4 linked regions of the Arabidopsis thaliana genome follow. The protein of the gene in region 1 interacts with the protein of each later gene in a pairwise test. Each region holds a gene or a part of one and is shown in the gene's direction. Other genes may lie near its edges.

Region 1 (5,565 bases):
TTTGTTTCCTCTCTATAAATAATTAGTTATCACTTAATTAATATTAATATCAGTTTTTTGGTCCTTCAAGATTTTAAGGAAGAGAGGCTAAAATGGTGTGGTGAAAGGAAGGTATGTAAATCAGACACTATGGGTCTTGTTTTAGTTATTAAGGCAATGGTCTTGTTTTAGTAACTAATCTTACTCCTAATACACATGATTATATGGTGGATATTTTAACTTTTGAGCGGAATAAGTTAGAGTCCAAATTAGCAATTGTCCAAAGAGTTCTCAATGGAGAAATAAACATCAGTCCCGATCTTGATGTGGTCTTGGAAAAGAATGGTTTTTAAAAATATGGCAAGACAGTGAACTCATCAAGAAGCTATGACTACGTCCCAGAGGATCTTATCTCGATGATTAGAGATCCTTCAAAATAGATGCATTAAAGGCATAATTAGATTACGTGAATAAAAGACTGGGTACTATCAACTCTGAAAGCCAGAAGCACTCTGGATCAATAAGCTAGATGATTTTGATAAAGCACTTGAGGTATGAATGAATTAGTTTTATGATTCTCCACAACAAATTATGTGTCTGTTATTTGAACTGAACTTTCTTAATATTGCAAGGACTCTGGTCAAGACTCTCAAGTTAATGGCGATTATAATATTTAGTGCATAGATGGCACAAATATAATTTCCATTCTTATCTATAAATGATTATGGTATAACTGTCTACCAAAGGTTCCAAAATTAGTATTTAACAAAAAAAATATTTCAAAAGTGAAATAAAATGTATACCTCCCATCTCTTAGATCTAATTTTAATTTTATTACATATTTTAAGGATATGCCAATTTTTCGATTTTTTGTTAGAGACAAGTTATCATATTTCAACATTTTTAGGTATCTTTATATAAAGATTTATTCTATATTTGGAAAATTATTCTTTCCTAAATTATTATTAAAATCTGAAACTTAAAAAATATATAAAAAATTAAATATATGAACTAAAATTTATACAATCTTTTTCATATAAATTGTGCTTTTTGTACCTCGGACCATAGTAGTTCTCTTTGCATCTGAAGTGTTGTTGTAACCGATCCGAAGATGGTAAACATTTACAAGGAAAATATTATTTTGGAGTGGGCCTTTATACAAAACTATCAAATCCTACCTAGCTCGGGGATCATAATTTTTGTTGAAAATGTTTGCATGGCGATTTGAAGCAGTAATATGAAATAGATTTTGATTGTTATCATCAACTTCCAATAGCAGGTCGAGACACGAACGAAGTAGAATTTCTACAAACTCAATGTATCCGGACTTTACGACCTCAACAAGTAAATTTTGAGGTGAAGAAGTAATTTATAATTTATCTTCGAAAATATTTACAATCCTTCTCATATAAATATACAAGTTTTTCCATTTTTTTGTTAGAGACAACTTTTCACATAATTATCTTTATTTTTTGAAATTTTAGTATTATATTGTTTTTCCAACTACACATTAATTACAAAATACTCCTTGATGAATTTATCTGAGAAATTTACCATATTTTGTTATATTATTATTAATTTAATTTTGCGTAAACGGGAGACTATACAATTAAGTTTGAGTTTCCTGATTTTCAAATGTTGGGTTTGTTTGTATAATTTCAAATGTTGGGGTTTAATTTGCAATATTCCCGAATCCCGACTACTCATTCTAAAATATAATCAGACCTTCGCGTCTTCTTTAACAGTTAGTTCCATACCATCGTCGCAAGCTCTCATCTTCTTCAGCTCAAAAAGCCATCTCAAAGGTAAAAGTTTCTCGAGTTTGTCTTCTCCGTTTGATTGCTTCTTCATCCCTATCGAGATTCGTATGATTTACGTTCTAATTTCGTCAGATCGATGAAAGATCCATTGACATTCTCTAGAGATCTGAATAAAATATTTTCTGTTATCGTTCACAGTTTTGATGAGATTTTTGTTTGGCTCTGTAGATTTCTAAGTTTTTAATTGTTTTCAATTTGCCATTATGATCTATCATTCTCATAGCTTCAGTAAGAGATCTGATCGTTAAGTTTTTCAGATTGAGAATCGAAATTTGACTTAGAGGTTATGTAGAAACCTTAATTTTAAGATCTTCCCTGATGATCTAGTACTCTCTTCTTAGATCTTGGTGTATTCAGTGCTAGTTTTGTTTCTTAGACTAAATGTATTAGATAGATTTCTCAGTTTTTGTTCTGTGTGTTTGTAGTGTGTGGTTATAACACTTAATTTATCACTATTTTCAGGTATATTTTGAATCAAAAACAATGGCAGGGACTAATGTAAGTACATCTCTAAGCTCATTGTATACTGTTAAGAATCATTATATTGTTGTCTGTAAATAGTCTTGTGATGCTTTATGGTTTGTTACACTTATGAGATTCTTTGCATTGTGGTGTAATATAATCTCCTCTGTTTGTGTATAAGATCACTATGTTAAGATTGATTTTTTCTTGTTTTGTTTGTTGAGTGGGTAAGTATGTTTTCAGAAGGTGTGACGAATCTTAGGTTCATGCCCCTATTGTTCTAAGATTGTTTGCATCTTTCAATCTGGAAGCATAATTAGGCTTTGTTACTGTCTAAGTAACATAAGTTCTGGTAGATTTTTGTAAACGTTCTTTTGCTGCTGAGAAAATTCCAATTGCTTATGAATCTGCTTTTGTGCAATATCATCATTTGTTTGTTGATGCAAAATAATTTGGATTCTATCTGTTGGAGCTGCCATTTGTCTGGTGTGTCATGTTTTTGTATGTCCTTTTGTTGGCCAGGTTGAATTTAACTAAAGCTTGTATTATCTTTTGTCCTAAGTGTTTTTAGCAAATTTATGTATTAGCATTTAGCACCATAGGTTTGATTGGCCTATCTGGTCAAGCCATAGATGATGAGTATTGAGTAGCTGATTTAGCTTTTTAGTTTGATTGGTGGCAACAAATACTCAAGAAACTTAGGCTTTGGACCCTGTGTAATTGTCCATATGATTGGTGATAGTTGGACTGGTGATCTTTATCTACTTTGCTGTTGTAGAAGTTCAAACTTACATGATCCATTTTAAGGATTCTCGCTTCTGCTTGTGCTTCTCTCTCTTAGTACTTACATGCTGACTATCTGGTCTACAATGAATAGGATTCTTGTCCTTTGGTAAAGAACATTCTTCTTCTAGACTCTGAAGGAAAGCGTGTGGCTGTCAAGTATTACTCCGATGATTGGGCAACTAATGCTTCCAAGTTAGCTTTTGAAAAATATGTCTTCTCGAAAACCTCCAAGACCAATGCTCGCACAGAAGGTAAGATCAAATTGAAACTTCAACACATGTACAGTATTTATATATGTAGTTCTCTGTTTGTTGTATCATAGGAGTATGAAAGCTTCAGATTATATTTTACTTGTTGGCTGTCTATTGGGTTTCCTGATTACATATGTGCATATTTCCTGTTTCAAACAACTTGTAGGTGTGTATAATTTTTTTTTTTTATGTTTACTTTTTGCAGCTGAGATCACACTGTTGGAGAGTAATATTGTTGTCTATAAGTTTGCCCAGGACCTGCATTTCTTTGTTACTGGAGGTGAAAATGAAAACGAGCTCGTCTTATCATCTGTTCTTCAAGGCTTTTTTGATGCTGTTGCGTTACTTCTGAGGTATTTAACCCACCTTAACAAATGACTATGTGCCTTTCTTGATCAGTGATATACGAAATTAAAGTTGAACATCCTTTCTCCTTACAGGAACAATGTTGAAAAGATGGAAGCCCTTGAAAACTTGGATCTCATCTTTTTGTGCCTTGATGAGATGGTTGATCAAGGGTATGCTACATATGCTTTCAAATACTATTCTACGATTTTTTTACTATGTTAAATTCGGAAATCTATCATTTTAGCCTTGCACAAGAGTTAAAAGATTACTGAGTTCGGAAATCTATTGCAACTCTTAAACATGGGTGTGTAGAGTTAAAAGATTGCTGAGTTTAGCTTGCTCTTCATATCTTAACAATTAGCTTTCTAATATGCTGATGGAGTTGAGCTAAATACGGACATAGTGAGATCTGGTACTTAGATACTATGAGAACTTATTGTTTGATCATTGATGAACAACTTCTGGCCGTGTGTTGAAGCGTTCTTGTTAAGTCTAGTGCAGAATATTTGCAACTAGCCTAAGGGGGGGTTATGGGATATGTAGCTTTGCCAATTCAGGAACAGACCTTACGTCCGTTAGTTGATAGCTGAAGACTTAAAAGACAGCTTAGAGAATTCATTAGGGGCATTTTGGATTTGTTGAGGGTTTTGGTTTGGGCATTGGTTGAGAGTGTAGAGACTTTTCTCGCTAATGAAGTCTCTCGAAAGTGTAATTCTTTAGTAACTAGATAAAGAAGTTTAACTGTTTTGAATCCCTATCACTGTGATACTCATCTTTGTATTGTCTTATGAAACTTGTTCAGGATGGTACTTGAAACAGACGCGAATGTTATTGCGGGGAAAGTAGCAATGCAAAGCGCAGAAGCAAGTGGTTCACTCTCTGAACAGGTGAGACGCAATATGACTACTACTAAACTACCTTCGAGCAAAGCGATAATCTTTATATCAATCATGCGGTTGACCATTTTTTGGATTTTGTATTGTAGACATTAACTCAAGCATTGGCAACAGCTCGGGAGCACCTTGCGAGAAGTCTTCTTACATAAATTTTCATCGTGGGAGCGAAATGATATATTCATAAGCCCTTGTAACCAACCATATCTGAAATGGTTACCCGTTCACTAGAAATCAACCCCTATTGACTTAACTATCTCATGACTTTGTTTTCTTATGGTTTTTTGGTGGAACTTAGATCTTTTATTCGCCTGTTCTTGCGGAACCATCTTTTTAAATGTGAGGATCAACATTGCACTAGTGATTGATTGCTTTACATATCTAAGACGGTTGATCTTAAGTGTTGCGATTTAAGATGGGAAATCTCTCATAAGCTAAGTCGTTCAGTGGCCCAATCAAAGTGGAAATAAAGAACGGTTTACCGTTTAGACGTCAATCCATCTGAAGAAAGCAGTTGACAGTGGTTCGAAATTGGTTAAGGAAAGACCAAAATCTGAGAGATGCAATCCGAATTTCTATAAAAAAAAACGCACATTGAGAATCGTATAAAGAATGTTTTACAATATGGTCTATCAACTTAGATCAATGCGGATGCAAGTTATAGAAAGTCCCGTAAAGTGCGAATGTCGTAATAGAAGCGGATATTCGATTTTTAAAAAAATAATATTTATTATTTGCTTCGATTTTTATGAATACTTTATTTTTCTATTTGTTTTGGTTTTAAATCTTACGGATATTCGGATTTTTTGAATCGAATTAAATTGAATATCGAATCGAAACTGATCGAACAAATATTTTGCCCGGCCCTACTTCTTATATGAAAAGTTTGTGCTACACCTTTTTTATAATTGGTTCTAGTAAAGTAATCTCCAATTTATATTTGCTCACAAATTTTTTGCCATATCTCTTAGTCTTTAGCTATCTTTTATTTTTTTGGGTCAAAATCTCTTAGCTATCTTTTGACTA
Region 2 (5,118 bases), on another chromosome or scaffold:
AATCTTAGGAAGATAATGCGCAATTAATTGAATTTTCAACCAAAAAATGGACAAAAAGACTATCGCCTTGTAATGATTGCAATTATGATGCTTCTAGTCTTCTAGATACTGTATCAAGTATCAACTGGATAATAAACTATTTATCATTTTCTTACAACTAACAACCAATTAAAAGCCACTCAACATACTAACATTTCCATAGTCCACTCCAATGATTATTGATTATTATGATTAAGATCAGATGATGTTCTCTATGGATTAAAAAAAAAAAACTAGCAATAAAATAACAAGAAAAATGGTCATGTTGGGACTGGGTGGGAGTGGAACGAGAGGCCACGGCACACAAAGTCACAAAGAAAGTGTCATTATCCGGTGCACCGTCCCACATGCGATTGCTGGTAACCACGCGTCAATCAGACGAATGGCATGATCCTTTTTTAGATTGTGCTCGCTAACATGGACCCTACAAGGACCGAACTAATCAATGTGGTTCTCACGTGCCTCTTTTGCCAATTTTAACTTTTCTAACGAAAAAAATATTACTCTGAAACCTCCACATTCAATTGTGATATGACCGGCGTCTGGCCCTCAAACCGAAAGGCTCTCCTCTGAATCCTTTGTTGCTCTGTCCCACGTGCCAGAAATATCATCTTAAATATGGTGGTCTTTCGCAACCCTGAATGGCATTTGTGGTAATTAGTTCTAAATTACGTGAGACAATGCAAAGATTTTGTTTTGCACCATCGTTGCCGACCACATCAAACAGGTCATCGCTCTGGGTCCACTCACCGCTAGTCCGCTATACACTTGTGGGAAAAGGCTTCTTGTAGTACAGTTTCGTCACGGCGTCTTATTAATTGCAAATCTGTGACGTTACGGTTTTCGATTCGGGTTACTATTTTAATGGAAATCTTTTGATAATAGCTAGAGCCTAGAGTATGTAACCCTAAGGTTAGATGGTAATACCGAATCTACCTAAATTTTTGTTATTTTCGGTTTTTCATGAGATATATAGACTGCGTAATTTAAAATCTCAAAATTTGGTTTCACTTTATTTTTATTTTTTTTTAGTTTCGAGGTAGGTATACAAGCATGGACCTTTTGACATTATTTAAAATTTTCATAATTTAGAATCTTCATGTTAAACGTGTATGGCTACGATCTTCGGAACTTTATTCGGTTTGTATGCTCAAAGGCCAACGCCATTTATTTTCTAATTGATTTTTTCCCGTTACGGAAACAATCTTTTTGCATTATTGAACTTAATTACCAAAGTTTATGAAAAGAAACAATAAAGTCTAAATTGGCCTATTTTGATATACTGATCACTTACGCGAAAACATCTACATTGTTATCTACTAGACTAGTCATTAACTCGAAGATAGAATTTCATTTCTTGACCAAAAAAAAACTCAAAAGATAGTTATAATCACAGATTCATTATTGACTTTTGCTTTTAACACTGTAGCCATTTATGTACTATTTATACAAATACCTAACTTTTCAAATTTGTGATATTTTTCACCCTACATTTTAGCCTATAGGTTGGATCATTTTGTCATATTGCATCACTGTTTACTAGTACCAAACTTAAATATCACACGAGCAGTAAATTTGCTATCAATTTTTTCGTTTTCACAAACATATATCTAGTTTCCCTAACCAATAATTAAGTTAAATTGCATTAGGAATTTAGGATTTATAATAAATAGATATATAACCCACTAACGACAAAAGACTATGTCTTGCTACGTCTCTGCCTTTATTATCATGCCACAAGAAAATAAGAGGGGAACAGAGGGAGAACCCCATAAATAAATAAATTTAGAGAAATATCTAAGTTTGGTTCTTCCCTGTGTCTACCCACCGTGATCATCATAAAATGGATTGTGATTTCTGATTTGTGAGTCTATCTTTCTCTACTCCATTAGCTTCCTCTCCCTTGGATGGTTACGTCACTTTCTCCGAGCTTACGTCATCTATATCCGGTCTTCACTTCTTTTTCCTTCCATTCCTCAGCAGCATTGCGTAATCTATCTGGTGTGTGTGTATCACGTCACTTCCTCCTAGTCCCTCTCTCTGTACGTTCTTGTTGTGAAATTGATTTACTTTTTGAAAACATTTTTGGTGCAATTCAACAATATTTGTTTCACAGTTCTTATTTTATTTTTGTAGATTAAAAAGCTTAAATTTCAAAAACAAGAAAATCTTGTTTTCACAAAAATTAGGCAAAGGGTTTCCAATTTCCAGATTGTTTAACTTGATTTTCAATTTCCAATTTCCGAATCTTGCAACTTGATTTCTATAATGATAAGTTATCTCCAAATATGTTTTCTTAAAAGAGAAAACTCGATTTGACTTCAAGTTGAGATCATATCCATTATTATTCTCTATATTACGTACAAGTTATTATATATTTTATAACTCTAGAGGAATGTTAGAGCTTGTGTTAATGGAATTCCAAGTCAGATATGAATATTCTCTTATAATCATTATTGTCCTTATAACTGTTTTAAATACCTCAAATTTATATTTTATCCCCTGTTTTTTTCCCGGGAAAACGAATCTCAAAAAACGAATTTCCTACTTTGACATTATTTTATCTCCCTCTTGCTCTTTGATATAATGCAACTATCTGAAACTCTATGAATTTATCATTTACAGAGTTCAAGATCATATGATATTTTCACTTTCTGGACAAAATGGGACATTTCTCTTCCATGTTCAACGGTATAGCTAGATCCTTCTCGATCAAGAAAGCGAAGAACATCAACAGCAGCAAAAGCTACGCTAAGGAAGCCACAGATGAAATGGCGAGAGAGGCGAAGAAGAAGGAACTTATTTTGAGATCCTCTGGTTGCATTAATGCAGATGGATCTAATAACTTGGCTTCTGTTTTCTCTAGACGCGGTGAGAAAGGCGTTAATCAGGACTGTGCCATCGTCTGGGAGGTACATTACTTCTACAAAAAGTTATCTTAGAGCTGGGTTATTTGGAACTTTTGCAGTCTTTGGCGTTTACTTAGCACAATTCGCTTCGTGTGCGTGTGCCTCTAGCTTGTTTTGGATGCTCCTCTGTATCTAGGGTTATTATCACCAGTCCAAAGATCTTAAGTTTAACGCATTATATGCTTCTACCGTTGATTTTAAGTTATCCGATATTACGGTCTTTAAACACTGATTTGCGAATATTTGTTCATCATGTTTTGACAATTTCTGAAACAGGGATATGGGTGTCAAGAAGACATGATATTCTGTGGGATATTCGATGGACATGGTCCCTGGGGACACTTTGTTTCTAAACAAGTCAGAAACTCAATGCCTATATCTTTGCTCTGTAACTGGAAAGAGACTCTTTCTCAGACCACAATAGCAGAACCCGATAAAGAGCTACAGCGGTTTGCAATCTGGAAATACTCATTCCTCAAAACCTGTGAAGCTGTTGATCTGGAGCTTGAGCATCACCGAAAGATAGATTCTTTCAACAGCGGTACGACCGCTCTAACCATTGTGAGACAGGTAAATGGAGCATCAGATTCATTACCTCATATGAAGAAAATCTTGTAAAAAGGCTACTCTGTTCATTAATCCTTAAGTGGTTTCTTGCTACAGGGTGATGTTATTTATATAGCAAACGTCGGGGATTCACGTGCGGTATTGGCCACAGTTTCAGACGAAGGAAGCTTGGTCGCGGTTCAGCTCACCGTAGATTTCAAGCCAAACCTGCCTCGTTAGTTCCATAAGCATAAATAAATCATGTAAATCTCAGTGCATTTAGCTAAGCAGTTCTGAATCTTTATCTTTCAAATTTTGTTTCTTATTAAAACAGAGGAGGAAGAGCGGATAATCGGATGCAACGGGAGAGTATTTTGCCTTCAAGATGAGCCAGGGGTCCACCGTGTATGGCAACCAGTAGATGAATCTCCGGGGCTCGCAATGTCAAGAGCATTCGGAGACTATTGTATCAAAGATTACGGATTGGTCTCAGTGCCTGAAGTCACTCAGAGGCATATATCCATTAGAGACCAGTTTATAATCTTGGCCACTGATGGGGTAAGAACATTTGAATAAGCAACTTTGTTTTGTTAGTTTATATTGGCAGCGTAGTCATGTAATTGAAACATTATAGGTATGGGATGTGATATCAAACCAAGAGGCCATAGATATTGTTTCCTCGACGGCGGAGCGGGCAAAAGCTGCCAAGCGACTGGTACAGCAAGCAGTTAGGGCTTGGAATAGAAAGAGACGCGGAATCGCCATGGATGATATCTCTGCCGTGTGCCTCTTCTTCCATTCTTCATCGTCGTCGCCATCTCTATAGCAACATCTTCTCCATGCCACGACCTGCAAGTAGGTACTAGTACTTTTGGACCGGGCAAGAAAAGAAAAAATGCTGCAATGTAGATAGACTTGCGTAAAATCGCATTGAATATTACTTTCTTGCCAAACCAGAGTCCTATCACAATCTAAAGAACACAATTGGTTACTTGTAATTTTAATAATCATTTAAAAAGTGGGAAACTTCTTAAGTTATTATGAAACATGTGATGAGGAAACAAGCTTTTGGAACAAGAATCAAACATATATCAACTCCAAAGTTGTAAGAACATATCCGCAATTGAAGATGTATTGTACAGCTTGAGGCACATAAACATTATGATTTACAAGAAGTGTATACTATACACACACATACCTCTGCGAACCTAGGAAGCAATCAAATGAATTTCTTCTTTCTATATAACTAACATCTCTATACATAAGTAACGTGTGAGCTTAGGTACTCTATTAACTGATTAAAGAGAACTGGGCGTACAATAAATAGTGGTTAGTGGAAGACTTGAGGAGCAGTGTAGAACTCAGATTCGTTGAAACCTGGTCTGAGATCTTCTTGATCACACATGAACTGTAATGGGAAGCACACAAGGTTCCCTCTTGTCTCCTTCAGAATCTCCCACGAGTCGCTGCCGCATGATTCTAGCCTCTCCGGTGCAATGCCAAGGTCGATCGTAGTGTGACCCAACTTGTCTTTACAAAGAGCCATATTGTGTCTCAATGCAGCTCTGTGTTTAGAAAGACAAAGTCAGAAGCAGATTTGATCATCTCTCAGTTGCGTTTAAAA
Region 3 (4,810 bases), on another chromosome or scaffold:
ACCACTTGTCCTTATCACGTTCTTTTAATCACAAACCCAAAACTGATGACTTTGTGGGTTCTACTTTGGTAAGATAATTCAGCTTCAACCATAGAGAAAAAGAGCTAAACCAATATGAAAGGAGTTAGTGATTTTGACCAAGAGATGCTTCGGAGAGTTTTTGACTTTCTTTTTTCCATGTCAGCCCATTATTACCTATGAGACTTATTATGTTCCACGCCGCATCTGATTACACCACAGACGCACCAAACCCCCAAACCTAATCCGCCACGAAAACGCCTCTCGACCCATAAAAGAGGCAACCCTCATTATAAGCTATTATAAATAACGCCAGACATAACTTCTCTCATTGACCCAACTACCCCTAAAACACACTGCGTGAACGGGGGTAATCTCGTCATTGAATCGGTGATGACTGGGTAATTTAACTGGCTTGAATTCAGCGAACAGTTTCAGGAACCAAGCATCGTGACGTGAAACTTGGCCACCAACACCAATCACCATCATCTCGATGTGAGGAGGCACTAGATTGCAAAAATAGGAAAAAGCAAAGAAGATAGATAGGTTTTGAGTTTCATCTATGAAGAAAAAGAACGTGATCACGTCAGAGTAACAGAGTGATATTATCGGTCAACGCTAAGTCGGAGTATAGATAGAAAGGCCAAGATGGCGTGACCGGCGAAGAAGCCGATCCCGGACTAAAATGACGTAAATGGCCTCAAGAGAAACAAATAGGCATAGAGGGGCAAAACTGGAAGTAGTTGCGGAAAACAAGGAAGACTGAGATTACGTGAAAATGGATATCAGGTAAAAAGTACGACTAGGCTTCGTTATAACCCGGTGGCTAGTCACCGTCAAAACGCCGCATCCCGAGGGGTATAGTTGTCAAACACACAGAACAGAGTAAAGCAGAAGTTTCAAAAACTGTTGAACATATAAACCAAAGGGAAATTATCGAACGAACCTTAGATCTAACGGCCTCAGACAGTTTCACAACGCCACTTGACTCCTCAAATCCATCAACGGCAGCAGCAGCACCGCCTCCACCGCCGCTAAAAGAGGTTGCGCCGCTCCATGAAAGTGGGGTCGTGGGACTAGCACGCGTATCATGATCTCCCTTCTTCCTTAACGTCGCCGCCTTGGTCCTCGGCTGACGCACGCTCCACTTCAGCTTGAGATCCGACGCGCCGCCGCTCTTCGTCTCAGGAAGTGACGGCTCGGCATGGAGGAGACAGATCAGAGCCTCCGCCACTAATGAATCATCACCCATAGCCTCGTGAATCCAGTCTCCGCCGGTCATAGTCTGAGGTTGGACCTTCCACCGAATTTAGATAGAGAGAGAGAAAGAGAAGGAGAAGAAATGGTGGCGAAAAGTGGAGAAGAAGAAAAAATCTCCCGTGGCACATTAATGGGTGGATTTTTATTATATATAACGTTTTCACACATACAGTTATTAGATTGAAAAATTATTTTTAAATCTGTCTTTTATTTTCTTTCTTGGTGAGAGTGGGACCCATGGGAATACATACGTGGCATATAGTATTTGTACTTTGTGCAATTGCAAAGGTACTAGGGTTAGCGTCTGAATACACGCGCGGTTAGTGACATCTTTATGGCTTGCGTGCCGGTTCAGTTACATCCATTACTCTTATCATATGCAGTTTCGGGATAAATTTGTGGACGTGTGAGGTCATTCTTACTTGAATCACATTTTCGTACTTCATGATTGTAGATAGATGCCATATTGCCTATGTAGGATAAAGTTTTACGAAATTAGGATTAGTTAACTTATGTATTTATATTAAGTATGCATTGAACTCGTTTTCTTTTTCTTTTTTGGCTAGGATTGAAAATTATAATTTAATGTCCATTCATACAGTATTTACTGTCCATAATACTCCAAAAATTTGAAACAAATTATCCAATTATTAAATGGTCGCTAAATTCGAAAAACCTAAGGGCTTTGTTGTGGGTACATGGGTCGAAAACAGAAAGATGAATTGGGCCTTTTCACATGTCCGTCATGTTGCAATGTAAGAATTATATCCGGTTCTTAATCAGATTTTGCCTGACCATTTCTGATTCATAACTAACCGGAAAAGTCAACAGTTCAATGCACTTAAACCGGTTCTACCTTAATCTGTTATCGTCATCACTTACACTCTCTCGCAAACACCCAAAGCCCTAAAATCCTTAGGAGCAACCAAAATCATGGCGCTTCATCTCGCCAGACGCCACCAAAGGTTACCATCAAACACATCTTTGATTCGATTTTTCTCCAATTCCTCATCGGACTCACCTCCCCAATTCACGAACGCACCGGTTGAAAAACCGTCTCAGTCACCATCTTCTCCGTCACCGTCAGACTCTTCTCCGATCTTCGACATCAAGAACACTCTGAAACTGAAATTACAGAACCAGCAGGAGCAAGGAAGGAAACCATTTGACAGATCCGATGCACAATCTCAGAATCGCGGATCGACTAGTTTCTCCCAAAACTTGGGGAAGAATCTCGCCAAGTTTCAGCGGAGATCCACCGTTCCACCTCCGAGGGATTCAGGCGGCGTACAGCCTCCGTCTTATATTTCCTTAGCGGGCCTCTATAAGCAGAGCGCTGCAACAAACTCATCGGATCCTAGAAATTCGAAAGCTCAGGGTTTCAATTCAAACACTGTAAGTGAAACTTTAAAGAATTTGAGGACGCAGATTAACACTTCAAACAACATGGGGAAGAGAGGAGGGGTTTTAGGAAGTTTCAAGAGCACTGTAGGTGAAGCATTGCCAAAATACCTGTTCGAAACACAAATGGATGAGAGTAAGGGAAGTGAAGGTGAAACAGAGGAGGCGATGACGGAGTTCTTAATGTTTTATAACGAAGAAGAATTAGGTGAGAAACTAAGGACGCTTAGGCCAGAAGGAGAGAAAAAAGAAGGATGGTTCTCATTGGAGGAGTTGAATCAGAGATTGGTTAAGCTAAGGCAAGTTGAAGAGAAAGAGGCACAATATCGGACTAAGAACTTTGCCCAACTCAGAAATGTTATTTCATCATTTAAGAATGAGAATTCTGAAGCTAGTTCCCGTACGTTCTGAGCCTCTCATTACTCTCTCTCTCTCTCTGTGTCTAATCTTTGCGAATTTTAATTGGTTGTCTTTGCTTAGGACTCGAGGTGTTGAGATCTTGGTTTGATTTTTGTTGTTGAAATGATGTTTATGTGATATAACGAGGTTTCTTTGCTTGCAGAGCAGAATGTCGCCATTATGGGCCATCTCGGTGGTATCCCTGAATACAAGCTTCTTCCTCCAAAAGAGGATCTAGTTGACACTGTAAGCTTTTCGCTCTTAGACTTTAGAGCTAGTAGCTTGTCACTTTAATTAGTCATGAACCAAAAGGCTTATATGATAGTTTCTACAATTCTGTGTTGATCTGTTGTGACAATGGGTATTGATCTGTTTTGTTTGACTGCATCAACAAAGTATTTCCACCCAGATAACATGTCCTCTGCGGAGAAGATGAAAATTGAGCTCTCGAAAGTCAGGGAAGAGTTCAAGATGTCAGAATCAGACTGTGGTTCTGCACGTGTGCAAGGTAAACTCTACATAAGGCCAGTGGTCTGATCAATGTTGACTTTAGCCATTTAAAGGTTTACACGTTCTAAGATAGATTGTCTTGTGATGTCTCTGGTCTCTCCTTACAGTGGCACAACTCACTACTAAGATCAAGCATTTATCCTCAAGTTTGCACAAAAAGGTAAAACTTCAAACTGTTTTCGATATTTTTGTGAAGCTATCCATCCCAGTTTCTTGTGGAACCTTATGTCATACCTGTTGGTGGCTGTACCGTAGGACAAGCATTCGCGGAAGGGACTTTTAGGAATGGTGCAGAAACGGAAGAAACTGTTGAAATATCTAAGACGAACTGACTGGGATTCTTACTGCCTTGTCCTGTCAAAACTCAGCCTTCGTGACAACCCGGATTACAAGTGCTAAGCTTTATTGCACTAGAGACCCGATGATGGTATCTGTGCACTCTTTTGGTTCAACCAACTTACTGTTGTGAGTGAGACTTAGCTGTTCAAACCCTGTTAGGCATTTTCCACTCTAGGGAAGAAAGTCGCTCTATTCTATTTTGTCCTCTTACTCCAGTGTTTCAGCTGGAGCTCTTCAATCATGCATTTGTGGCAAAGAAATGAAGTTGTGGATCTCTTTCATTGATGTTTAGTATTCCCTTTCACATTTGAGTTGTGATAATAAAGTTATCTACGAACAAGCCTCATGATTTCATTTTACATTTATAGCAATGGTTTGATGATCTTTTCCCAAATGTCACATTGAAGAAGAGAAACATTAGGTTTTTGGAAGAGAAATTGTATCTACAGAATCAAAAACATCATGCCGTTTTCTCACAAACCAAGAGCACCGAGAGGCGTTTTCCCCTGCCCGGCCTCAAAGTAAAAGATCAACATGGCAACCATTGCGAGCCTCGAGTGCTTAATCTCTGCCAATTTCAGCCTCTCCAGCTTCTCAAAGTCCGGCTCATAAACACCGTCGCGGTTTTTCCCGGCGAGACCCAACGGATCGAAGAATCTCCCACCGGGGTATCCCTGATCGCCGGTATAGTTCGCGAAATTCTCGGCGGTCTTCGACCATGGCGTTGCCCACTCAACCGATTGAGAATCCGGGTTGAAGAAATCGACCCATCGTTTGCTCTCCACCCAACCCATGAGAAGCAATTGGGTTCCAAGAAGCGACCCGAACGAGAAGGGAGCGATCGCGTCTGGCTGGGCTCCAGCTTCAAACCATGCCACACCGC
Region 4 (6,045 bases), about 10 Mb from region 1:
ATGCGAGCTCGTGGGGCGCAGCGCTGGTAAGGATCTCGCCGTATACTTTCTCCGCAATCGGAATCGCCATCTCGATCGGTGTCTCAGTCCTCGGTGCCGCCTGGTAAATCGAATCTTATTCTTCTTCGTCCCCGCAGATTAAAGCATTGACCTTTTTCATCATCTTTTTTTGGTTTGTCTTATTCAGGGGAATTTACATTACGGGAAGTAGTTTGATCGGTGCGGCTATAGAAGCTCCTCGTATTACTTCGAAGAATCTCATCAGGTTCGTTAAAAGTTTCAAGCTTTTTTAATTCTAGTTTTGTTCCTTTGGTTGATCAATTAGTGGCTTTAAGGAACTGTGTAGATTCCATGTCTTGTTCTGAATAGCAATGAGAATTCATCGCTGAGTAGCTTGATTCATTTGGATATTTCAATGCCACATCTCTGCAAGAGTAGATTGTCACATTATGATACAAGTTGTTGACCTGGGATTCAGGAGGTAGAAATTTAGAATTCTCAAGGACTCATCTGGTTGGTAGGGCTAGTAACTTTGGATCGTGAAGGCTCTGGCTTTGCGGATTCAAGCACTGGATGTAATGATAATGAAGTGTCTTTTGTCTTTCCACGTATTTCAGCAGAAACATATATCTACCATCGAGATAGCTAAATGTTAAATTAGGGGATATAGATTTAAAGTTTGTGTTTACGTTATTTGTGGTGCCTTCCTATTCCGCTCCTTCATTCTTGGGCCGGAGTCACTTAAGTAAACACTCAACACAGTCATTGCTATTATATCCCATGGGTCTACGGGGTAGATTTAAGGAATGCTTAACAGGGAGTAGCTGTGTATGCAATTTGATTTGTTGTTACAGAGCTACAGGCTTGGAGTTAGATGCTCTGCAACATCAGTGTCAACAGTGTCATTACCACACACCATTTCTTAACCATATTGAGTAGAGCATTTGGCTGTAAAGGCACTAGTACTTAGGAATGCTTAAGTAGGAAACAGTTGTGTTTGCATTCTACATTTTCTACTTTGTTAACACTTAACAGAGCTTTAGGCTCAAGATTAGATGCAAAAAGTATACAATGACGAAGCATTTCTTGTTCTTTTAAACTGTCCCAGTGTCATCTTTTGCGAAGCTGTTGCTATATATGGAGTTATTGTTGCAATCATACTGCAAACAAAGTTGGAGAGTGTCCCATCTTCAAAGATGTATGATGCTGAGTCTCTTAGAGCTGGATATGCAATCTTTGCATCTGGAATTATAGTTGGATTCGCCAACCTTGTATGCGGGTCTGTATCTACCCTTTTCTCCTTCCTTACAGTTTTGGTTTTTGGATTCCATTGTCAGATATGCAACCGAGGTCCACATTTCTCTTGCAGGTTATGTGTAGGAATCATTGGAAGCAGTTGTGCATTGTCCGATGCTCAGAACTCCACACTTTTTGTAAAGATTCTTGTGATCGAGATATTCGGGAGTGCTCTCGGGTTGTTTGGAGTTATTGTGGGAATTATTATGTCTGCACAAGCGACATGGCCAACGAAATAGATATATATATATCCGGTCTGTATATGTTGTGGTCTACTTGCAAATCTGGAAAAACATGGCTTCTTGATTATCTTCATTGTTATATCGTTCCAATGTCTAGACGAAAATCTTGTGTGAAAACTGAGAACCACTTTTGGATCCCCAATTTTTTGTATTTGTTTAAAACTTTTGAATAAGTCCTTTTGGAGAACATCTTCATGTTTGTATTCTCTTATAATCAAAGACAAAGAGTTTGTATATGATTTGTTAAAACTGAACTAGTCATTTTATCAAGTCTGTTTCCTCTATATACTGTAGTTATGTTTTATCTTTTTTTTTTCTTTCTCAAGTTATGATTTATCTCAAGCAATTATGTTGTTGATACAAATGGTCTTGCCTCTTTGGCCACACCCTGTGTAGTGCTGTACCCAACAAAACCAATGAAAGAATTCGATCTATACAAATTGCATACCAAGCAGAACCGTTTTGTCCTAAACCAATCATCACACTAGACGACGTCGTTTCACGTGTGATATTTAGGTGGCTGTCCCGTTCCTGGAACCCGGAGCTTTTTTTGTTGTGATATATCCCGTAAAACCCTAAACATAGTCACTTCATCGTCTCCTCCACTGTATCATTCAATCTCTGTCTTCCTTCTTTTTAGCGACCTCGTCTCCAAAGCTCACAAATTTTCTACCTTTCCGGTGAGTGTTACTCTGTTCTCGTTTCCTCGCTTGTCTCTTTCTGGGTTTTTAGTTTCCGAAAGATTTTCCTTTCAAAATCCGTTTTTGAATGCGAATTCCCTCTGCTGTATCTATTATATTTAGTAATTTGATGTATTGTTTGGTTGGTATGAGCTGATAAAGTTCAACACGTTTGTTGTTCACTTTTGGGAAAATTTGCGATAAAACAAGGATTTTTTTACAATTTTGACATATATATATATATATATATATATATATATATATATATATATTTGAGACGAGAATATTTGTTCAGATATCTACTGAGTAAAATTAGTGGTCTCTCTGTTTATTGCGTTCATGTGACATTTGGAATTTTTGAGTCTAGGAGTAGAGAGAAAGATGCAAGCTTGTTGTGGTGGTAATTCGATGGCTTCTCTTCAGCAACCTGGACGGGTTCAAGGATCTGTCTTTCCCCCAATTATGCCTCCAGTGACCAAATTTTCTCAGCAGTTGAAGTTCAATATTTCAAAACCTTTCCGTTCTTCATTTCTGAAAAGAAACCTGGTCTCTGAAATGAGAGCATCTTCAGTCTCGCTACCTAATGTCGAGATAAGCAGTAAGATAGTTTAAGTTTCATTTCCTTGATTATGTTGATGATGTGAAAGATATTTTTACTTGTTTCATGCGTGGTTTTGATTTCTTTTTACTTTTTGATGACTGAATATCTAGGCAAAGAAATCCCTTTTGAGGACTATGGTCTTGGTGAAGTTGATCCAGAGGTCCGAACCATCATCACAAAGGAGAAAGATAGACAATTCAGGAGCTTGGAGCTTATTGCATCTGAGAATTTCACGTCTCGAGCAGTTATGGAGGCGGTTGGCTCATGCCTTACCAACAAGTATTCTGAGGGACTGCCTGGTAAAAGGTAATGAAGTATGTAAGATTAGTTTTTGTGGTGCACTTCTGTCTCATCTGCTAGATTTCATAGTATTTCTGTTGTCCATGTCTCACAGATATTATGGTGGCAATGAGTACATTGATCAGTTGGAGACGCTTTGCCAGAACCGGGCTTTGGCAGCCTTCCGCTTAGATTCTACGAAATGGGGGGTTAATGTTCAGCCGTTATCTGGTTCACCTGCAAACTTTGCTGTCTACACTGCGATACTTAGCCCTCATGATCGGATCATGGTAAAGAACTTTTGCACTCTTCATCTCCGCTTTACTTGTGTGCTTGATATAGATTGAATATAATGGCTTGTTTTATACGATTAGGGTTTGGATTTACCTCACGGTGGTCATCTGTCGCATGGGTTCATGACCGCTAAAAGGCGTGTATCTGGAACTTCAATATACTTTGAGTCCATGCCTTATCGACTTGATGAATCAACAGGTAATGCATTTCTTATGAGAAGGGTCTCTGAAACTACTTTTGTATGAGGCTATTTCCTGATGTCTGAATATTTGAACAGGCATTGTTGACTACGATATGCTCGAGAAAACTGCTACACTTTTCAGACCAAAGCTTATTATCGCAGGAGCTAGTGCATACAGCCGAGATTTTGACTATCCTCGCATGAGGAAGGTAGAAACACAACCTGATCCTTGAAAACACCTTTCATGTTTCTGTCTACTTTTGGCTTTCAAATATAAATCTGTTATTTCATTTTCCTCACAATTTGTATGAATTTCTGAAGATCGCAGACTCAGTTGGTGCTTTTCTGATGATGGATATGGCTCATATCAGTGGGCTTGTGGCTGCTTCTGTGGTAGCTGACCCTTTTGAGTATTGTGATATTGTTACAACAACAACTCACAAGGTATGTATGTTCCGAAATATGAAACATGATTTCCATTTGTATTTAGACAAAAAGCGTTTCCAGATTATCTGTTAGTAACACACTTTTACCTTACTAGTCTTTGAGAGGTCCGAGAGGTGGCATGATCTTCTTCAGGAAGGATCCAATTAATGGGGTTGATCTTGAATCTGCCGTGAACAATGCTGTCTTCCCTGGTTTGCAGGTTGAGATATTCACCATTATTTTTAGCTCTCTTAGATAATTCTTCTCCCAACGTGATTAAAAGTTGTCTGAATTGTATATTTGAAGGGTGGCCCTCATAACCACACAATTGGAGGATTAGCAGTCTGCTTGAAACACGCACAATCACCGGAATTCAAGGCGTACCAGAAAAGAGTACCCACCCTTTTACTTGATCATTAAGTTCTTCTGCACCGGATAAAGTTTGTAAATTTTGCTTCTAACAAGAATCTTTTGCTGCTTGTTTAGGTTGTGTCTAACTGTAGAGCTCTAGCTAACCGATTGGTTGAACTCGGGTTTAAGCTAGTTTCTGGTGGCAGCGATAACCACTTGGTTCTCGTCGATCTTAGACCCATGGTAAGTTTACAAACTGTATTAATGGCTTGAATAAATCAACTTTTTTCTTAAACCAGAAAATCACTTATGATAATGCGGTGTCAGTCTAACATTTTTGTTGTGGTTAGGGTATGGATGGTGCGCGGGTTGAGAAAATCTTAGACATGGCATCTATTACTCTCAACAAGAACTCTGTCCCTGGTGAGTTCGTCCTCCTACTCTCGGTCTTCTTCTTCCCATTTGAAAAGTCAATTCTGAGAGAAGCCCTCTTACTCTTTTACAAAACAGAAATGAAGTCGATAAGTAGAACTTGTAGAACACAACTGTTAAAGAAATGCTTAATTGTTGTTATAGCAAAATCATCAATTGCTATATTTATATGTTTGATTCCCCTAGAGTAGTGAAATTGAGACAGTGTTGTTGTGTATGTGAAATGGTGAAACAGGGGACAAAAGTGCGTTGGTACCAGGGGGAATAAGGATAGGATCCCCCGCGATGACGACAAGAGGACTGTCAGAGAAAGACTTTGTAGTAGTGGCTGACTTCATCAAGGAAGGTGTGGAGATAACAATGGAAGCCAAGAAAGCCGCGCCGGGTTCAAAGCTTCAAGATTTCAACAAGTTCGTGACATCTCCTGAGTTTCCATTGAAAGAGAGAGTGAAGAGTCTAAAGGAGAGAGTGGAAACCTTCACATCTCGTTTTCCCATTCCTGGCGTTTAAGCTATAAACACACACAGATATGCTCTTGTTGTACCTTAATTATTCACCTTTTTCATCTGTCTTTTAGGGTTTTTACTTGCTTGTGTCCCAAGTTTAAAGTTACAGTTGAATCGAGAGAAATTATTTTCAAAAATAAATTTATTTGTGGAACAATGATTCGTCTATGTTCCCAAATCTCAATCAATATTTAGTATAATCAGTTGTTGTGAAAGAAAAAAATAATAATAATTTGAAAAATTGTTTTTAGCGAAGAGAGCAAATATTTCGCGGGATGTGGCGAATATATCTCACCCAATCTTTCTCTTTCATGCGTTTTTTTTGTTGCCTTCTCCAAATATTCATCTCTGCCTCCTCTCAGGGATAGACTCTCTCTCTCTCTCTCTTTCTTTCTAAAACTAAAACAAAAGAAAGAGAGAGATCCCAAATTCAACGATAACAGATTTTATCTGCTTTTTTTTTTTGTTTCGTTTCTTCTCCCTCGCTCCCCACCGGATTATATATCTCACCGGAAATCGGATCTCTCACGTTGGTCGATTTTTCTATTACGGCGGCGGCCATCGCTTTCTTCTTCTCCTCCAGGTGCGTGCGATCTTACTTTCTTCCTTGAGACTTTGGTTTACGCATGCACCTCTGTGTCTCTGTCTGTACGTACGTCATTGATTTCATTTCGGATTTTCTCCTTTGTTTGATCGATTTGTATAGTTAAACAACATTAATATGGAAACTCAAGTGTTTTTAGGCTTTGATTCTTCT

What was found.
Region 2: the proteins of AT4G08520 (region 1) and AT3G05640 interact in a two-hybrid assay, tested with the Arabidopsis thaliana proteins (one large-scale study listed by BioGRID).
Region 3: the proteins of AT4G08520 (region 1) and AT1G15810 interact in a two-hybrid assay, tested with the Arabidopsis thaliana proteins (one large-scale study listed by BioGRID).
Region 4: the proteins of AT4G08520 (region 1) and SHM3 interact in a two-hybrid assay, tested with the Arabidopsis thaliana proteins (one large-scale study listed by BioGRID).

The regions. Positions count from the first base shown.
Region 1 is NC_003075.7:5,415,605-5,421,169, forward strand, and holds AT4G08520 (SNARE-like superfamily protein), read left to right. Parts: upstream 1-1,604; 5' UTR 1,605-1,784; intron 1,785-2,261; 5' UTR 2,262-2,282; coding exon 2,283-2,297; intron 2,298-3,138; coding exon 3,139-3,298; intron 3,299-3,503; coding exon 3,504-3,651; intron 3,652-3,738; coding exon 3,739-3,816; intron 3,817-4,448; coding exon 4,449-4,533; intron 4,534-4,631; coding exon 4,632-4,691; 3' UTR 4,692-5,035; downstream 5,036-5,565. UniProt on the Arabidopsis thaliana protein: The coatomer is a cytosolic protein complex that binds to dilysine motifs and reversibly associates with Golgi non-clathrin-coated vesicles, which further mediate biosynthetic protein transport from the ER, via the Golgi up to the trans Golgi network.
Region 2 is NC_003074.8:1,639,812-1,644,929, reverse strand, and holds AT3G05640 (Protein phosphatase 2C family protein), read left to right. Parts: upstream 1-1,676; 5' UTR 1,677-2,081; intron 2,082-2,664; 5' UTR 2,665-2,702; coding exon 2,703-2,951; intron 2,952-3,224; coding exon 3,225-3,518; intron 3,519-3,611; coding exon 3,612-3,729; intron 3,730-3,828; coding exon 3,829-4,052; intron 4,053-4,128; coding exon 4,129-4,320; 3' UTR 4,321-4,580; downstream 4,581-5,118. Other genes in the region: PLDP2 (phospholipase D P2), read right to left, coding at 4,825-5,059.
Region 3 is NC_003070.9:5,442,285-5,447,094, forward strand, and holds AT1G15810 (S15/NS1, RNA-binding protein), read left to right. Parts: upstream 1-1,935; 5' UTR 1,936-2,211; coding exon 2,212-3,079; exon of another isoform or gene 3,080-3,241; coding exon 3,242-3,324; exon of another isoform or gene 3,325-3,474; coding exon 3,475-3,586; intron 3,587-3,695; coding exon 3,696-3,748; intron 3,749-3,843; coding exon 3,844-3,987; 3' UTR 3,988-4,280; downstream 4,281-4,810. Other genes in the region: AT1G15800 (uncharacterized protein), read right to left, coding at 965-1,300; LHCB6 (light harvesting complex photosystem II subunit 6), read right to left, coding at 4,401-4,810.
Region 4 is NC_003075.7:15,688,889-15,694,933, reverse strand, and holds SHM3 (serine hydroxymethyltransferase 3), read left to right. Parts: upstream 1-1,944; 5' UTR 1,945-2,218; intron 2,219-2,585; 5' UTR 2,586-2,599; coding exon 2,600-2,816; intron 2,817-2,929; coding exon 2,930-3,125; intron 3,126-3,213; coding exon 3,214-3,388; intron 3,389-3,472; coding exon 3,473-3,590; intron 3,591-3,669; coding exon 3,670-3,782; intron 3,783-3,894; coding exon 3,895-4,017; intron 4,018-4,114; coding exon 4,115-4,219; intron 4,220-4,305; coding exon 4,306-4,392; intron 4,393-4,485; coding exon 4,486-4,593; intron 4,594-4,700; coding exon 4,701-4,773; intron 4,774-5,017; coding exon 5,018-5,292; 3' UTR 5,293-5,498; downstream 5,499-6,045. Other genes in the region: AT4G32535 (uncharacterized protein), read right to left, coding at 318-426, 532-630, 690-766; AT4G32530 (ATPase, F0/V0 complex, subunit C protein), read left to right, coding at 1-103, 188-265, 1,109-1,535. UniProt on the Arabidopsis thaliana protein: Catalyzes the interconversion of serine and glycine and directs the hydroxymethyl moiety of serine into the metabolic network of H4PteGlu(n)-bound one-carbon units.